Lepisosteus oculatus: one gene and its partner. The protein of the gene in region 2 binds, or shares a complex with, the protein of the main gene of each other region. Links are inferred from orthologs where the notes say so. Each region holds a gene or a part of one and is shown on either strand. Other genes may lie near its edges.

Evidence for each region.
Region 1: the proteins of cop1 (region 2) and trib1 are in contact, whole or in part, in a crystal structure (PDB 5IGQ), measured with the Homo sapiens proteins. The link is inferred for Lepisosteus oculatus from reciprocal best matches to the Homo sapiens genes COP1 and TRIB1. Residues at the interface, in NP_071902.2 of Homo sapiens: Ile423, Ser425, Val441, Lys472, Tyr491, Trp517, Asp534, Ala556, Asn557, Cys559, Ala576, Asp577, His578, Lys600, Ala601, Ser603, Thr618, Lys643, Asn644, Phe645, Phe699; in NP_079471.1 of Homo sapiens: Asp355, Gln356, Ile357, Val358, Pro359, Glu360, Tyr361.

Annotation. Positions count from the first base shown.
Region 1 is NC_090705.1:7,685,020-7,694,774, reverse strand, and holds the start of trib1 (tribbles homolog 1), read right to left. Parts: upstream 4,055-9,755; 5' UTR 3,401-4,054; coding exon 3,089-3,400; intron 2,118-3,088; coding exon 1,825-2,117; intron 1-1,824. Other genes in the region: nsmce2 (E3 SUMO-protein ligase NSE2), read right to left, coding at 8,668-8,785. UniProt on the Homo sapiens protein: Adapter protein involved in protein degradation by interacting with COP1 ubiquitin ligase. The COP1-binding motif is masked by autoinhibitory interactions with the protein kinase domain.
Region 2 is NC_090704.1:6,366,598-6,376,137, forward strand, and holds the start of cop1 (E3 ubiquitin-protein ligase COP1), read right to left. Parts: upstream 4,807-9,540; 5' UTR 4,577-4,806; intron 4,496-4,576; 5' UTR 4,432-4,495; coding exon 4,040-4,431; intron 2,637-4,039; coding exon 2,577-2,636; intron 1,776-2,576; coding exon 1,678-1,775; intron 1,204-1,677; coding exon 1,139-1,203; intron 1-1,138. UniProt on the Homo sapiens protein: E3 ubiquitin-protein ligase that mediates ubiquitination and subsequent proteasomal degradation of target proteins.

The DNA of each region.
Region 1 (9,755 bases), on a different chromosome or scaffold from region 2:
CTAGGGAATGTGCTAGTTAACTGTGGTAAATAAATAACTACAATTCTGCAGTTACTAGTAAAAATGCTGAAGAATGCAGATATCCCTTTGAAATAAGAAGCAAATGCAAAAATTAAAACTAAGCTGACCGCCATCCCTTGCACACCTTGTGCACTTGATCAATAAAAATGTGCTGATATAAAATGTATTTTAATTCACCTAAGAGAACGTAATATGGATTGCCTTTACTGGGTGGCAAACTTTAAAATTGATTTAAAAAACCTTCAAGCCTCTCATTAAAGCACACAGGGGGGGGTATCAAACCAAAGTAAAATGAGAAAATGTAGGAAGTTAACAGTGATCAGTATGGGCTCGAGGCAGGGACATACCAGAGACTACGGCATTATGCAATTAGTCTTTGATGAAACAAAGGCATGCACTAATCACTCCACATCAGCCAAGTGAGTTTGTCTAAGTTTAGCAACATTTCCAAGACGATAAAAGAAGCCTTTTGTTTGTTTCCTAATATGGGGATCAAGGAGGAAAACCTGTGTGACAAAACACCCACAAATCTCTCCTTCTAAGGGCAGATGACATGGAGTCAGCTCGCACAGGTCACCCACATCAGCAACGCATTATTCCACAATAATATGTAGCAGGTTCTGCTTCATCTTGGCCTGACAGTGAATAGGTGCACAGTGTGAATACATTTCTACAGCATTCCAGGGTATAGCATGTGGAAACTATGACTCAGCTAGCAATGCGGTTCATCTCTTCTTTGCCCCCTATTCTAATGGCCAGCACCTGTGCCTTTGCCTGCCTCTGCTTAATTGCCTAAAACTGCTGTTGCCACATTGGTGACACATGACGTTATTAGCCTTTGCTGCAACACAGATTTCAAAATTAGCAAGGCAGCCTGCAATATTGGGTTTCAGCAACTGCTTAAGCCTATTATAGTATTGTATGTTGCAGTTGCAAAAGTTCCTTAATTTATTTTGGTTGCGGGTATTTTCAATTTAAATACGTTTCTGACGTAAGCATGGTGCTTGAATCAATGCTGTAAAAACTGTAAATGCTGCATCAAGCAGGCAAATGTGGTGTTCCTCCCTTCACATTAAGGAAATAAAAAAACATATGTGCGTACTGAAACCACTTTCGGTTTTATCAAGTATGCCCAGTCTTTTATGTATGTACAGAGTGTCCAGAAGTCCTCAGTTTGTCTGCAGAAGCTAAGACAAGACAAGGCACTGGGGTTTATATCGTACTCCCACCTTTTTATGCACAAAAATGACATTAGACCACAGCTTAATCTCACCTCTTAACAGAATGAGTGTCCAATTTATACAAGACATTTTCTGTCCCCAGATTAATGTGATCCTTAAAGACGCCCCCCCTCCCTTAAAAATGAATCATTCCCAATATATCTTCAATTATCTTCAAAGGCCTCCAAATATATTACATTTTACAAAGAGGTATACTGTGTTTTCTGCAGTCTGTTTCTCTTAGATCCATACCAACACTCATCAGACGTTTGATGCCCTAGAGGTAACAAACTGCTCACAATAAAATGGCTAGTAATATAATAGAAAAATAATCATTTGAAATGAGAAAAGCTCTGGCAGTTCCTCGTGGAACGGCAGTATTGTCTTTCCCCATCTATAGTAAGCTGAAAGCAGTGGACTTCATGTTATAAAACAATTTACCGCACACAAATGTAGTATTCTGATAAATGTATGAGGCGATACAAAAATAAAGAGTTCCACACAATGGTACCAAGTCACATTAGTGCCTTTTGAACGGCCCTGCAGTTCGTGTTTAAATGCTACTAATGTAAATCATCCTCACCTCTTCTCATCCGCGAAGACAAATTTCCTGAGTTTTAGGTCCCCCAGCACGACCCCAGACTGGTGGCAGTGAGAGACAGCTGAAACTATCTGGCGGAACAGCCCGGAGGCCTGCGTTTCGTTCAGCTTCTTACAGCCTTTCACGAACGTATGCATGTCCCCAAAGTCCTTCTCGAAGAACACGTAGGCCTTCTGGTCCCCCAAAACAATGTCCTTAATCTGGGAAATGTTCTTGTGCGCTGGTACGATGGTGTGCGGTCTTATCTTTTCCTGGTAGTGTTTCAAGCTAAACACCTAATAATTGATGGGGAAAAAAAACCAATGTTACTGTCTGTATAGTATCTTTTACAATGCAATGTCAAGGCTGGTACGGTGAATATATCAGGTTATCTCACAGGGAATATATATATATAAATAAAACGCACCCGCAAACACGAAGAAGTTCATCGCATTTAACTACACTTACCTCAGTTTTCTCAAATCAGCAGGAACTCCACTTAACGTAGACGAAAAACCAACATGATCGTTTGCTTACACTGCCAAATCCATTGACAAATACAATTAAAGAGCTATTCGGAAGCAAAATAGTTGAATACCAGATCGTTTTTTTTTGGAATAGAAAGATGCCGGGTTTAAACTGGAGGCCAGTACTAGCAGTCATTTCTCCAGCCGACATACGCGGACGACAAGGTGAGCAGATAGAAAAACGGCGTGTAATCGGGTGACCTGGCATGAGGGCTTGGGTTTCTTTTTTTTTTAATACAGAAAGGGATTTAAGGACACAGGTTGAAAAGCGACAGTAGTGCTGCACAGCGCTGCCATGGTTGTACACAAATGAACAACATTTCTTAACGCAGCGAACACGATCACCTTCCTCGTATAATTTTATGGCGACTGGTGCGTTAATGAGCTTCAAAGTGGTTTTTTTTGTGTGTGCGCTTACATTAGAGGCAGATCAGATACAGACTTCGCCAGACCTTATCCATTTACCAAAATAAGATTTGATCATTTGATCTATGGAAGCAGAATACCATCAGTCTGCAAAAATATGAAAATGCCCCGTGTAAAAGCATTAAAATTGCGAAATTTATTGTGCAATTAATAAAAATTTACGGATGTCACGCGGGATCGTCATGCGCGTATTTGGCAAGAAGCCCGTGTTGTTTTTTTTGCTTTTCGTATCTCATGCATAACTTCCAAACCGGGGGGGAGGAGGGAGGGGGCGATTGTTATCATTAAAATCCCTCATTCTGCCGTTTCCATACCTTGCACACAAACTCCTCTCCCGTGTTTATGTGGAGTGCGCTGTGCACCCCCTCCCTGTCGGAAACGGGCAGCAGCAGGAACTGGCAGATCCGAGAGAGACCCTGGTGGCTTGCAGGGGTGCCGGGCGAGGCTGCGCTGACCGGGGACGCCGGGGAAGTGCTGAGGTAACCGGTGTCGTTCGCGGAGTCGCTCAGCCTCGGGATCTTAGACACCGGCTCTTCGGCGTCTACTCTCTTGGATCTGCACCTCCCATTGCGAAAAAATGGGATCGGACTGGTTCGCTGCGCGTTCCAACTCATGTGGGCCAGCATTCAGACAAACACTTTTAACTCGGATATTAAAGAATTTCCAAGAGCCCCCACATTGACTTAGTCTTCCTTGGGATTCCGCGGATGCCCAGTGCTGTATACAATTACAGGGTTAGGATAATCCCAGTATTTTAGTTTAAGTAAATCCTGCGATTCTTCACAGATAATACAACGATGTAAGGATTTTAAAAGAACAACCTCTGTACAACTCCGAATGAACAATGTCCTTTTGTTTTCTTTCTCCAAGTTGACTTCAATGTATAGGCAGGCGCTGCCTCCCGATTTAACTGTTGATATGTGAGGCGGACCTCACAAAGCACAGAAGAAAAAAAAAGTTGTTCCACTCAAGTCAAATAGAAACGCTCGACAGAAAGCGTGCGCCGTGGGTTTCTCGATGCGAGAATGACCTCGCTGATTCAGTAGGTGCCCAAACTAAGATGCTATTTCTAAACCCTTTCTCTTTAGCAGTGCAACTGGAACTCCGCCCGCACCGGCCCCTTCTATGACACGGTTTCAGGAGAAACCCTCCTCGGCGGTTGTGCAATCACACAACCACACATCACAAAGCATCGCAATGGGCTGCGTGCGTAATCACAAATTGCAGGTGAAACTCGGGCAGCCGGTTATTGCTGTTCATGCCTAAAGCCACACATTTGTAAAGCAAGAGCAGAAGATTAAACAATAATAACACAATAAAAGTGTAATTTATGTGACGTTGCGGGAAAGCCAGTAGAGTACTGGATGAACAGCAGGTGTGTCCAATTAAGTGTTACATTGTTTTCGAATAATTAGCACACTCTCTTTACATTATCACGCTGATCAAAGATAATGGTGGCGCGGTTCCTTTAAACGATATTCATTCGCGTCGCGATCGTAATTGTGTTCCTTCCAACAACAGTAATCCACTTTAAAGCTTCATTTGAGCCCAGGAATTTGCAGCTGGATAGTGACGGGCACAGTGGTATAAAAAAAATGCGGCATCCAAACGATCGGTCCTTTTTTCTCTCAAAAAGGCAGTCGTGCATTCTGGGCTAAAACTTCCAACATGCAGACAGGCACGCAGGAAGGTGCGCGGTTAACAAAATCTGAACTACGAACGCGCAGTTCATTTATAAATAGCGAGTCCACTTTCAAAAATATTTCCCAATTCATGATTTTCGATCATCATAAATATCCGGAATGCACAGCACTGCACGGTATAAATACACACCACGGTACTAAATTACATTCTTTCGCAGCTACTTATTAACAGGAATAAGGTCCAGATTTAGCTCGTTAATTACCTGTCATGAAAAGGATAGCGTTAACTGACCAAACGGATGAATTTTTTGCCAAGTCTCGGAACGCCCTACTTAATTCTGCCATATTGGAATTAAGCCTTTTCTGACAGTTTATCTTGTTGGCCACCAATTGCAGTCAGAATTCAAACAGACAGCGATGTTTTGGGAGAAGTCATAGTTATTTACTACTCATAAATACCGCGAACAGGAACGTCTTCATGACATGATGAGGAAATTAAATGGAAAAAATTCTGAACTCTGTGCCAACGAAATGTACAATGATAAGATACTGGGAAATGGGGGTAACGTGGTCAATTTGAAATGCAATAAAATATGCAGTAATCATGTTTTCTCAACAGTGTGATAATATTCACGATTAGACACTCTGAGGTGTAGAAATCGCCTTAACATTCCCCTTAGGTGATTTCAAAACAAACTAGACCTGATAAATGGACCCTTTTGATTTCAGTTTTCCAAGTATTTCATCTCTCACACCACCAGTGTGTGGCAAATCTTTCACAATTTCTAAAGCATTCATTCTGCAACAGCTCATATTGTCACTTGTGAGTAAATCTGTTGCCAAAGTCCAGCAAGGCTTTCATATAGTTTTATTTTAACAAAGATGTACTTCTTTAAATGATAAGCCTCCTTTTACACAACCGTCTGGACTATCACAATCAGGTTGCACCACAGTGTACCTTACTCCAATTGTCTGACTGCATTGTGTGATAGTACTGTATATGTAAACAACACATCACACAAAAGAATCTTGCTCCTTTAGAGGGCTAGGTATGACAAAAAATGTTATCCCATATCTCTTAAAAAATAAGAATAAAAAATGGCAAAATAACAATTTACCGGCATACAGCCGCAGGAAAGTAACCCCTGCTTCTACAAAACATGCCTCAAAACAACCCATTTTAATACAGTATTTCCACCGTCATCTTGAGCTACGATGAACAGCAAGTCATCTATTGTGATCTAAGAACACACAGTACCAGCAGGTCTGCTGCTCACTGTAACTTACTTCAGAAATGCCAATTCATTACATTAGTGGGAGAACCATGGACCCTGCCTGACGTGATGAACCACAGAAACTAGAGAAACAAAACATAGCACTAATTTCGTGCCTGTGAATACAGCACTCTGTAGCCTTACTTCTGCCCTGCTGTGCAAGATACAGTATGAATGCTCCACTGTTCACAACACCCTTCCAGTAAAGATGTGCCTGCACCAGTGTGAGAGAATGAGGTCTGAAATGCGGGCAGGCATTTGCATTTCAAATGGAAGTTCAAAGCAGAACAATGTAATGATTAATTCCGTATTTCCATAATTCCAGCTTGCTGTTCTGAAATCAGTCCTGGGAAGAGCAGCCAGATGACTCCCGGGACTCGCACTGGTGGGACCCTGACAGACTGAAGGAACTGGACCTTTTTAGTCTTGAACAGAGAAGAGGAGAAGACTACAAGTATTCAAAATCCTCGAGGACACAAATGGAAACGGTGTGGAAGTTCACTTAATATCTGAAAAACAGGAGGCACATCTTTGCCCTGAGGGTTGTGGGAGTGCAGAATAAGCTACACAGCCATGTGGCTGTAGGCGATACTTCTTTGCTCCCTTCAAGAAACAGCTGGATGAGATCTCTGGATCCATTAACTACCAAGTACCAGATGGGCTGGCAGAGCTGACCGGCCCCCTTCCATTCATAACCTTTCGTACGTTCTGGACCTCGGAGGAGTTCTGCTATTGCTCATCCTGTACTGGAGCTCATTTGGATCAAAGGCCATCTCATCAAACAACTGTAGCCAGGAATCTCCAGACCTGGTAGTGCAGTAATGGCTATATACAGTACGACTTTAGCAACAAAAACAATGTCTGCACCCATTCTTTTCGGAAGGGATGACAACAGCCCGGTTTAATCAGACTCAGCTGTCATTAATTTGCACTCACAGCTGTCGTCATTTCCTCTCCAAAAACACTGCAAATACTGTAGGTGATCCCCCTTCTCTCCCTCCCACACGTCTTTTTCAATCCCATCTCCACTTCTACAGCCCTCTCGGCCTTTTGCCCAAGATCGTGTGGGGAGTGTCATGTGTGTCTCCCCCTCTGCAGCTGCCCCCAGGTCACTCCTCACTCTGCAGGGGGTCCCAGCCTCCTCCTCCTTCTCCTCCTCTCCTGGCCAGGAGGTCTGCCCTCAGCCAAGCGGGTTAAGCCAGATTTCGACTGAAACATTCCGTAATCCTTTCAGAACGGTTCATTCTTGGGTGTTGTTATTTCTAGTAAATTGGCCACTGCTTTCACCAGTGTAGCGGGGTAGTCTGCACCCTCTGAACACAACTGGGTAACAGCCCTTCCCCAGTTTAGACCGTCACATTAACCATAAAAGAAGGCATTCAATGGAAAACTGAATGTATCCAATGAATAAAATCACTGGTGGGGACTACATTATTATTATTATTATTTTTTTAATGGGTCAGAAAAATCTAAAACATTCTGAACAGGTGAACGTGCATTTGCGAACATATCAAATCAAACAGAAACAGAACTGAAACAATAAAAAACAAATGCAAAATTAATAAAAAATATTTTTTGTGTCACTATTGCTAATTTCTGAGCACACACAAAATCCACAGTACTAAGCTGACAGCTGGTTATGGAATCAATCAGTATTGAATGGAGTACAAGGCACAGTACACAACAGATTATACATCTAATTTTAGACATCGTGCATTTTTGTCCTTTTTTCACTGTTGACTCACAAACTGAAGCACATCTCTGTCATGCAGCAGAACCACTGTGAAACAGGTCTGTCTTTCCTTTAGATAAGAAGGCAGTGCTACTTTCATTTTCAAAGCTGTTACTTTCAGTCTGTCATCTTTTGTTTAAAAAGCTGCATGGCCAGGGGCCAGAAATAATCAGTGACTTTTTGTTAACTTACTTTAATCAGTTAAAAAAAACACATTTTCATGTTCTGAATCATTCATTAATGCAAATGACATATGGCGTGATGTGGTAAGAAACTTAAAAATAAGGAAACAATTGTTTTCTGTTTTGAAAGAAAAAATCTCACATCTAATGTCAACGGGTCCTCTGAAACTCAGCTCTTCCCTGTTTTTTTAATTATCAGCCAAGGGAGATTTAAACAGAGGAAATATCTGCAAATAGTATTGGGGATGTTAAAAGTCAACTGTTTTCTTATTTCTCTTTTTAAACAATGAAATGCATGGGTAAATTAAATGGAAACAAGTAATGAAGTTTACCGTAGGCTCAACATTACCTTCACACATTACTCATAACTATTAAGTGCAAACTTAGTAACCTGCATTTTTATAAAGGAATTTCTTTGAAACAGGACAATTCTATTAGTCTGACCGGAAAGGGATTGGTCTGCATTAATCAGATGGTGAAGAGTGATCTTTGATAGAATATGCAACACAAGGCTGACACTAACACAGATCTCTGTACAATCACAGCTAATGACTAAGAAGGCTCAGTGGGGTGTCGTTGAAGAAAGTGTCCATTTTTAATACATGAAACTTTTGAACTGCTTATTAACTCATGTCAAAAAGCACTGCAGAGTGCTAAAAACAGAGTCTATACAAATTTGTTTTAAGTCTTGGAATTCCATCTTTTATAAATTCACTCAGACAGCTGGGACGCTGCAAAAAAATAAATTTCGGCAACCAAATGATGATGATAATGTAAGTAACAGGATGGGGTACCACTGTCTTTTCCCGATGTGATTTTTACATGACTGCCAGGCCTCAAATTACACGAATTACACCAAGCATAAAATGCTTAAAGCAGACATTTTTCGTGTCCATCCAATACTGCTTGCCTCCTCTAAGAGTTCCATTATGTGACTGAACTGACAGCTCTTTCCCTCTGTTTCAAACTGTCCGAGACTATTGGTGAAAGGGCACTGGTTCCAGTAGCTTGCTCCTGTTTCAAACAAAGCCTTCTGCACACTCGTTTGTGCAGGTTCCTGCCTCACATTTGTGACTTTGTGCTGAGCTTCTTCTGGCTCTGAATGAGCCTCTTCATTGTAGGATCTGGCACCAGGTCTGACTTTGTTACATCAGTGTTACCACATCCAACAACAGGGCACCTGAAGGGAAAGCAAGAGAATTAGCAGATTATGAAATTAGCCTTATTTACTTTCAACACTTTTTTTTCCCTATGCACAAAAGACCCTAGTAATATGCTGTTTTTTTCTTCTGAAGTCTTTATATTCATCCTAAGCTGTCTGGCTATGCAAAACTTAACCCACCTCAGCAATTCAAAATAGGTTCTTTATCTTTTCAAACCAATAACAGTTGCAATCCATTAACATTTGCAAATGTAATGAGTATGAGTTTTGAATGAAACCTCTCTCCAACCCTGACCTCCTGGAAAGTGCATCTCTCTAGTTGCAATTGAAGTAAAGTAATAGAGAAAGTAAAAGAGCAGATACAGGTATAATTATTTTACAGTTAACACTTTGAAACAAATTGCTCCCCAACCTATGACTACACAATTAGCAGCTGTGAAAATCATTTTCAAAGGTTTTATTTCTGTTTTTTGCAAGCAGCATAGATGAATTTTGAAAGTAAGAAAAACGACATACAGTATATTTTTTTTAACTATATAATGCTTTACTGAAGGCTGTGACCTGAATATCTAACATTAGCATACAGTATGATCTGTGATGCACACTTTGAAATACCACCTCTTTTGGTACAAGCCATTCAGGTACAGAGCTGTTTCGTTTTATGAAAGCACAAGAAGGTTTATGAACAAGAAGCCACTTGGTTCTTTGCTACTTCAATTGCTTGTATTGTTTAGAAAATCTCTGTTGCTTCTTAAAAGATCCCTCTCCTAGATGATATTTTTCTTAAATTCACATTTATTTGCATGAGTGTCAAATATAAACCTGACACTTTTCACCAGTGGCTAGACGCTGTTGTCAATGTTTAATTCCAAACCTGGCCATTTTAAAGGGTATCAACCTGGAGAATTATCATCCCATTTCAAAACTGACCCATTTTCAGGACCCGGGCTTAAAAAAAAAAACAGTTCAATTATAACAAGCCATTATG
Region 2 (9,540 bases):
CAGACTTTCAAGTATTGTTTTTTTTTTAATAAAATGTATAAAAAACAAAATTACATTCTACATTCATCTGCACGAATGTGGCATTCATGGCCAGGTATGAAGGAAGAAGTCCCTTCTGAAGGTAAACTACAAAAGGCAGTTATGTTTGGTGTAAAAATGGTGAACATCATGCTGCGTAATGTTCTAATCACTGTGAAATAGTGAAGGGGTCTGTTGTTTTAGGGTTTTGACTCATAACATCATATATATAGGGGCAAATTAGACAAACAACTGGATTCCTCTGCCAAGAACCTCTATCTTGGTCAGAAATAGACATTCCAGCATGACAATGATCAAAAGCATATATCCAAATTAGCAATGCAATGGTCAAGTGCACTTTACAAATGGAAATCACAGTATTGAAAAGGATCAAGAGCAATTCTGTCTGAAGGAGTGGTAAAGAATTGCCCTAAAAAAGTACCATAAGATCATGGAACACTATAGAGGGCATTAATCCAATCCAGAGGAAGACTTATAAAATACTAACTACAGGAGTATAACCCTTGCTTAACCTCCCGGCAATTTTCAGATGGTTCACTAAGCCTACGACATTTTACCAGGTAACACAGGGCAAACTCCACATGGAGTTCATTGCTGGTTTATTAATAAAAATTGACATTTTAACTAGCATTCGTTTTACTGGGAAAAACAACTTTTTTTTTCTAGGAGATTAAAGAAATGGCAGAACTCCAAACTTTGTGCATGATTTTTGCCACCTCAGTAAATGCTTTCAATGTGATCTTTAAGTAATTTGTCCATAACATATGCTAGAACTCTTCAGTTTTCCCACTTGTGCATTTTGCGTTCCAACAGTCACAAAATACTGCTGGTTACTGCCATTACTGGGTTGATCGTCTCCTTTTTTAAATATTTTTCAGCAACACATTTTAACCCCAAGTGCTGACATGGCATTTTTACTGGCTCCAAAGTTTTACAGCCCAATCATAAACCAAAACATTTGCTGTGTAAAAAAATGTGAAGTCAAAAATCCAGATACAGGAGAGCCAATGATTCCAAATTTGTAAACAATTTAGAAACTTTATCAAAAGCAATTTCTGTATACACAAAATACAAAAAATAGTTGGAACTGAATTCTCACCGGATGGTCCAGTTTAAGACGTTTTTCTTCTGATCTCTGTTTCTGTTTGAGGATAAGTTCATTCACTACTCAGGTGTGGAAACAAGAATGAAAATCAACAGAAAAACAAAAAAATATGAAGCCTTTTAATCTCAACGATATTCACACAGTACACTTCAGTTGGTGTAAAGAAAAACTGTTTTCCTCCAGAGACCAGTTATAAAATAGGATCCTTTTACCAAAATATACTCTACTGCATACTTAAACAGAAATGTTGTAAACTGTAAAAGCTTCGCATTAGAGGAGGACTTTTGATTTTCACTTTATTTAACAAATTCCAGCTCTCTTCTCTGGCAATCTCATCCCACTGATGGACAATTACCTTAATGTTAACTGTATTTATTTGTACATACTTAGCAGAATATTTGGTCTCAAACAAAGAACAAAAATATTTTGTTATCAATAAATGTATTTTACTTCCACAACCAGACGGATGTGGATTGCATCGATGGGGGTTCAATAAATGCATTGTCTTTTCATTTAGACATTACTGGACTTACCTAGAAAATTGGGGAACAGCTGATCCACATTATCAATAATATAATTACACTTTGGGCACCTGTTGCTGTCTTCCAAACTCTGCCGAATACACTTGTAACTAAAAGAAATGCACACCAGTAAAAAAAATGCTGACAAACGGTGCATAAAAAACAGACTTTTTCATCACTGTTCATTTAAAATATAAGATGATTACATATTAAAAAAATACTCTAATTCCTATGTTCCCAAAAACATTTTACTGCACATTTAAGTTCTAAAAACAACAATAAAAGCACAAGCTTAGAGCATATAGCTCTGTGCAATAAAATTAAGATTTAGCATATCCTAAAACCCATTTGTATAAAAATGCACTCTGTGTTAATCACAAAATGATTATAGGGAAATAAAACTTACATTTTTATAAAACTTCCAAAACCCACCAGTACTGACAAAAATGAGACAGACTGAATCCAACAATTACATTTTCCTACAATAAAAAGCACTGTCTACAACTAGAATAGACTGCAGCAATTAAGGAATCTACTAATAGCATACACGTCAAGCAGTTCACTAGTAGTACAGTAGATTATCATTACCAAAAAAGCTACTTTAATAGCGTTTATCAAATAAATCATGAAGTCAGCATAAAACATTCAGATACTGAAGGTGCTTAGTATGGCAAGTCTCAAATGAAGAAACTATGTGACAGAAATTTTAACTTAACTTTTCACATGTGATTTCTGCTGTACTTTGTTAACGTAGCTTTGCACTTTCTCTATTAAGGTAGTTGTGAAACTATGCTGAGTAATGCAGAATAATACATAAAAGAGCTAATTAAAATCCCAACTAATGCTACCTTAAGTGCACCACAAATTTTTTGATACATTTTTCTTCTTTTAATGCTTAAATGATTACTTACCAAAAGCTGTGCCCACATTTTGTCATATGAGCTTCCTCAATCATTTCAAAACAGATTGGGCTGAAAAAAAGGTTCACATTAAAAACAATTCAAATCATATTGCAACAGATTATTTAATTTACACAATTCACTAAAGCTAGTACAGTCTATATTTTTAAAGATCACCACACTTTGCACAAATGAGACTTCACGATCATTAAAAACGAACACGGATATATTGCTATAATTAAATAGAATATGTATGGGCCTTTAGAAAACAGTACCAAGCACTATATAGCACATTTCCTTAAGATACAAAATTAGAAAAAACAAAACAAAAACGAGAGTTAATCATTTATTGTACAATACAGTATAGAGCGGATTTATGGTGGTAAGGAGGTGTGCAATTGGAAGACACAATAATGTTTTATTGCTGAAGGACCATGAAAATGGCATATAACAACTGAATTATCTTAAGCTCTCAACAATAGTCAGAAAAGAAATTTGTTCCTAAATAAAAAAAAATCATGGACAAAAAAATAACATGCTAATAATTATGTAGGCATCACATAAAAGTAGGACATAATGTCAAGACTTTGCAAAGCCAAAAAGAACAAACATTAAGCAATCAGCCAGTCCTGAAAGATTGCGACAGGTTTAACACATCACGTTTGACAGTGATCAGCAACGTACGGGCACTGTCTTAATCCTGGGGTGCAAGAGGTACTGTACTTTGTAAGAACAAAAGAAAACTTTTTTTTGCCGAAAAGGCAAAGAGGAGGAAAAACCTTCCATTTTCACTGTGGCATCCCGAACGTTTGTTGACATCTGACAACCAAAAACCAACTACTGTGTTGTGTAAAGCAGGAAATTAGTTTGGCTTGCTTAGTACTAAACTGCCATTTTCAGGAGAGAGAAAAAAAAACGTGACCAATTCAGACCAGACAAATGTTTGACCTACAACATCCATTCATTCGAATAAAGACAAACGTGTACCAGTAAACGCAGTAACTCAGCTGCAGGCAGGAATACACATTATTGTATAGCCCACAAATCCAGAATGTAAAGCTGTCGCCAAAAAAATGCATCTAAATGGGGCTGAATCTATTTTTTTAATTTTGACCATTATGCTGTCGTCTGTAATTTCAAATCCTCGTCGAACTCGAAAATGTCCTACTCAAAAACATAATAACTACAAATGTCTGATGGGAGATGATTGATTTTACGAGCTGATGTTGGGTCCCGTTTCGCACAATGTTTCAATAGTGCAGATGAGAGTAATTACGTGTTGTACTATTTATAAAATGGGGAATATATATATATAAACATTCAGGGGGCAAAAAACACAATACCAAAAACCAGCACCGGTATCTTAATTTCTTCACTTTCAGAACAATCCAAAAAAATGCCTCAGTCGGCATGATTCATGTCGGCCTTATGGAATTTAAATGCCCCCCCTCAAAACAACAACAAAAATAACTCACCACACAAAGTCGTTGCTCTTGTCTTCGTACGAGTTTATGAGGCCATTGCAAAGGGGTGTTGGAAGAGGACGTTTTCTGCTGCTTCCAGAGGACGAGCCGGGTCTGGCCAGAGAAGCTGGAGTAACTCGGGAAGTAGGGATCCCCAAAGCGGCCACAGGTAACCCCTCGGCTCCACTTCCCAGTGTCCGTGAAGAGACAACATTTGCAGAATTGGTCCCATTACTAGTGTTACCACTCCCGCTGCTTGTGTTTCTGGCATTATTGCTGCTACTGGTGCTGCTGCTGTTGCTGTTGCTGTTGCTGGTGGTGGTGGTGCTGCTGCTGCTACTGCTACTCGTCCCAGGCCTTGAGCCCGCCGCTCCTCCAACCTGCGGCTTTCGGGGGGTTGACATAACTCGAGGCCGCTGCTCCAACTCCGCTCTGGCAGGCCGCAGGCTCCTGCTCACTGCATCCGGGCTGCAAGGTTTAAAGACTTAGAAACTCAGGAGAAAGACACAACCCCCCCCCCCCCCCCAAAAAAAAAAAAAAAAACCTCACCAGCAGTCACTCCGATCGGGTTATTTCAGGGAATGCGATCAGGCTGTTGAAACTGTCGAAAGCTATCACTTTCCTGAAAGACACGGAAAGGAGCTAAACAGCAAATCCTGCGAACAAAGCTCCGCTGCCAAACCGAGACTTGGAAACTACAAGCGATCTCCCCGGTTACAGAGCAGTGCGGGACCGCACAGCTGCCACCTTTGCGCCGCTGCGTCAACACGCAGGACTTCCCACGTACAGGTACAAAAAAAATAGCGGGACTTCGTAAGTCACGTAAAACATCCATTTGGTTTAAATTACATTTGAAGAGGATAGGTGTTTTTTTTTTTATATACAACCTATTCACACAAAGTAGGGATATACGGTATAATTACTTGAGCTGTAGGCCTATAGTGTGCAGTACTTATATATACACAACACCCATTCATTTCGAGGGAAGAATTTATTATCACGACGACAGGCTGGTAACGCTTTTCTTGTTTTGTAACTAGTCTTAATAAAAAAAAATATACCCATGGATTATGTATGTCAACTTAATTTTAATGCAAAAAAGTTACATTGCAAATGTTGAAATGCCACGACAGTTTTATTGCAGCTCTATTTGATAACGGAAAAAGCGGTTATTTTGATTTTTTTTCCAACCAGAAAGGTTACAACAAAAGAGGTTATTCGAAAAATAACAACAAACCACATATATGTGATGGTAATGACTCATTTCGACACATGTGCAGATTAGTTGGTCACAACTTTCTGAAATAATCATAAATAATATTGAAAAATAACCCTTCATTGCATGTTTCTAATAATACCGGGAATATCCACATGAGGGCGATATGTACTCAAAAATACAGTGCAATTAAAACACGTATACTTCAAAATAATTGTACAAAGAGCTATAAAATACATTGTGTCATACAATTATTGATTTTTATACTACAGCTGTGCTACCGATGGCTTAATGATGATTTTCGAAAGTATTTTGGGAACATTTGCAGATGATGCTTATATTAAGATGTAATGGATTAAGATGCTTTCTTTCTTCTTATCACAGTAGGTGTGCGTACTTGTCCTTTCTGAATAAGTAAATATTTATAAAGACATGTAAATGAAATTTGAGCCATGAAAGAAAAATACAATGTAATCAAATGAACATGTCAAAAATTGTACCTATGTTGTATAAAAACATTATATTTTTGGTTTTATTAGCTGTTTTCTCCTGTATGAACTGTATTCCCGCATTAAATTTTCTCAGTTTTAACACAAGGTGGCGAGCTTGTTTCTTTTTGTGTTTTATTACTTTATATTCATGTATAGAGGAAAACTACACAAACAGCAACACGTTCAGTTGCAGGACAAGCTACAGTACGTAGCAGCAAAGTACAGTTTATTTGTTCTGTCAGCAATAGGTCTCCTCTGTCCACAAAATGAAGAGTGAGCATTTTCTTGCATTTTTCATTACAATATAGCAGGTGAAACAGCTTGTATGGTCCAGCTTTAAGATTCTGCAGCACTTTTATTTTATTTTTTTGTAGTGTCTTTTTGCTTTGGCTAAGTCTCTCCAGAAGCTGAAACTGTCCTCTATCATAATTACTCATATACGTTTTTTTGTTGTGTCTATGGTAATACTTTCTAATTCTCCCAAAAGGTCTTTTTGAATGCAACATCACAAAATATTGTTTTTCTCCCCATACATTAAGATGCTAAACTTAAATAATTTATATTTTGTTTGTTTTTTTGTATCTCCTCTAAATTAAGTAGCTGAGGTATTTTTTTCTTAACAGTTGTTGTTTTTAGGTAGTGGAATTTGGGCACATTGTGATGGTGGGAGATCAGGTCTGCTCTAAAACCCCTTTGAGTTTTCAGAGAGGTCTCTCTAACAAAACAAAGGTGGGCTGGGAGGAGTGCCGAAGGTTCTGTGTGGGGAGTGTCTAAACAGACCATTTATAAATACCCAAATTGTGGAAATGAAGCCATGTTGTGCTATGGGTAAGAATTTCTAACAAGGCAGGCAAGGTTAATTCTAGAAAACAGCTTTTAATAGGAGAAATAAATTCTAGTCCCCAATGTTTGCATTTCTATCATTGTTTAAATAAGAATGCGTATCCTTTAGCTCTCATCTCAGCTCTGAGTTAATATTTTAAAGCAGTTATTTTGAAAGGTAGGCAACTTTGACACAGTAAGTGCCTCTTTGGCAGCACATAAGAAAAAGTGGACCACCAGTGGTTTATTTTCTGATCTCTCAAGGGGCCAGTACCTCAAACCCATATCATGATAAAAATTCTTGCTGGCAAGTGCAAAATTAATGGAAGTGTTCCAAGCTGAGCCATAAAAGCCCTCCTGAATCTGCCACAGGGTCCTGTTTTGTCAGATATGACTGAATCTCCCACATCTTATTAATTTGCCCTCTCCTCCAAGGCACTTCTTCAAAAAGTCTTTTCCTTTCCTCATTTTCATTGAAATCTGACCCAAAAGAGTAATATACAGAGCTTTAAAAAAGGTAGTCCATCTGTGCTTCTCTGAATTGTGTCTTTTACGAGGTCAGAATTTTATTGGTAAGGAATAATACAGTTATGCAATGAAATCAGTACTGGAGCAGGTGTCTGGGAAGACTATCTGAAGCAATGTTGTGATGATTTTACAGTTTCCTCGTGTTGTATTTATTAAAATCATTATTACCTTACAAGAACATTTTCACTCAGCTGAAATTGAAACTGCTTTTCTCCAGTCTGGAATCAAATACATACATTGAAAAATAATGTAAACTGAGCATTTCTTTTCAGTAGAACAAACAGCTCATGGTACTGTACTTGGTATTCAGTTAAAGCCATACAGCCATACCTGTTCTATAATTAAAGTGTTTCAATGCATAGATATTCAGCCCACTTAAGTTCATATATAATTTACAGTACAGGAAAATGTCAGCATGGGACTTTTGTGTAATATCACCCATATTAAAAAAAAATCCTAATTTCTTAGTAAGAATGAACTCACTTGTATGAAAAAAAAATACATTAGTAAGCAAATATTTTTTCAGTCATAGTTGTACTCTCCACTGGGTGTTGATCACAATTTTATTTCCTTAATATACAAATGACTATTTGTCATCTTCTTCACAGGCAATTTCCATTAAAAGCAACTTTTTTTTTCAACTCCATTTGATTCAGTTAAATTATATTATTTTGAGAGAGTTATGTCTTCTCATTAGCAAGAGTGTCTTGGCTCGCATGCTGCATACATTTTGACAAGTTATCATGCCAAAAACACAAATTCATAAACATCATATTTAGAAAATCTTTCATTCTGAGAAACGCATAGAATAATATCCTGCAAGGTCTCTTAGTTTAAGAAAAACCTAGTTCATATACTGGGGGGCAGAGCAGTTGCCACTTCAAATCTCGGGGCCGGCAGAGGAATCCTACTCCGTTGGGCCCCTGAGCAAGGCCCTTAACCCCAATTGCTCCTTGGGCGCTGTACAATGGCTGACCCTGCACTCTGACCCCGAGCTTCTCTCCCTGTCTGTGTCTGTGTCTCATGGAAAGCAAGCTGGGGTATGCGAGAAGACAAATTCTTAATGCAAGAAATTGTATATGGCTAATAAAGTGATCTTACACTGTTTTAATATCTCATTGTGGCCAGGATCTCTCACAAGCAGTAAACAGATACATGAGATCTTCTGTGATTTTACATAAGGCAGTATCAACTTGAGGATTCTCAGCTCCCTATGAACTGGCTATCCTTGCCACTGACCTGGGTTTAGACGAAGATAACAGTCCATGCTGTGAAGGTCCACCTTATGACAAGCAATGCTAAACTGGTCATGCTCTGGGGTTACAGTATGACAAAAAGCAGATGGCTCTGTTGACACTCGTTCTCAGAGAATGGGTTTTCTGCTGACTGCTGGGATGTGGACAAAAACAAAATATTGGGACCTCGGTGCAGTTTTCTTTTCCTCTGTGATCTAGAATGGAGTTTTGATGATGAACCATACAGTACATTTTAAGGTGGAAATCCTCATGACCTCATTATACACTACTGTATTACTATTGCCATCTAGGTGACTAAGTAACCCATCAGCCCATGAAAGGTGTATCTTAATTTCATGAACCTCTTTTTACAGCTACAGAACTTTGTTGCAGTTTTTTGCTATGTGCAGTAGCCACGATTCAGTAACCCGCCAGTTATCCTGGAATGTCGCCCACAATTGTGTGAATCCCAAAAAATAGGAATTGTTTAAGTTTTGATATGATAAACCCTAAACATAGTGGGTCATTTTCTGTTCTCTTAAGGTTTCTTGCTGATAATGAGACCCATCGCTGCCTTGTTCAATTAATTACTGCAGATTAATTCGATTTTAAGGGAGCTCTAGGGATACAAAATTAAATACCTTCTTCTCCCCACCCTCACTCCCCAACAAACAGAAAGTCTCCAACTTTCCTTGCACTCATACGTAACCCCTATATCTACTGTAAAAGTTGCCCGAACACAAGAGATGCAACCATTGATATCCAGCTCCCCCTTTCTCAGTATGCTCTTAGTACATCCATTAATTATAAATGAGAACATCATCTTTGCCATCTGAATCATTTATATCTCTCACAGTTAACAGAGGGAGAGTCCCCCTGGCAAAGACACTGAGGAAAAGAAACACAAAGTAAAAACAACCACTGTACAAATGGTTAGCCGGGTATGTTTACTGAAAGGAGCTCCATAAATTAAAGCTGATCATAGCCAAAGTATTTGAATTTTTTAGTTTCAGTATCCTTGATGACTTATCAATAGAAGACAAATGATAAATAAGGGACAATCAAAAATGTTCTGCTTTCAAAATGGCTTGTGGTAGGATCAGTGGCAGTAATGATCTCTTGTTTTGCCTTAGTCTAACCTTTTCTAGCTACCCTTTTTTCATACCAGCATTTCCTTCAAAAGAGATGCTATCAGTGCCCTCTAGAATTCATCAACTGTGC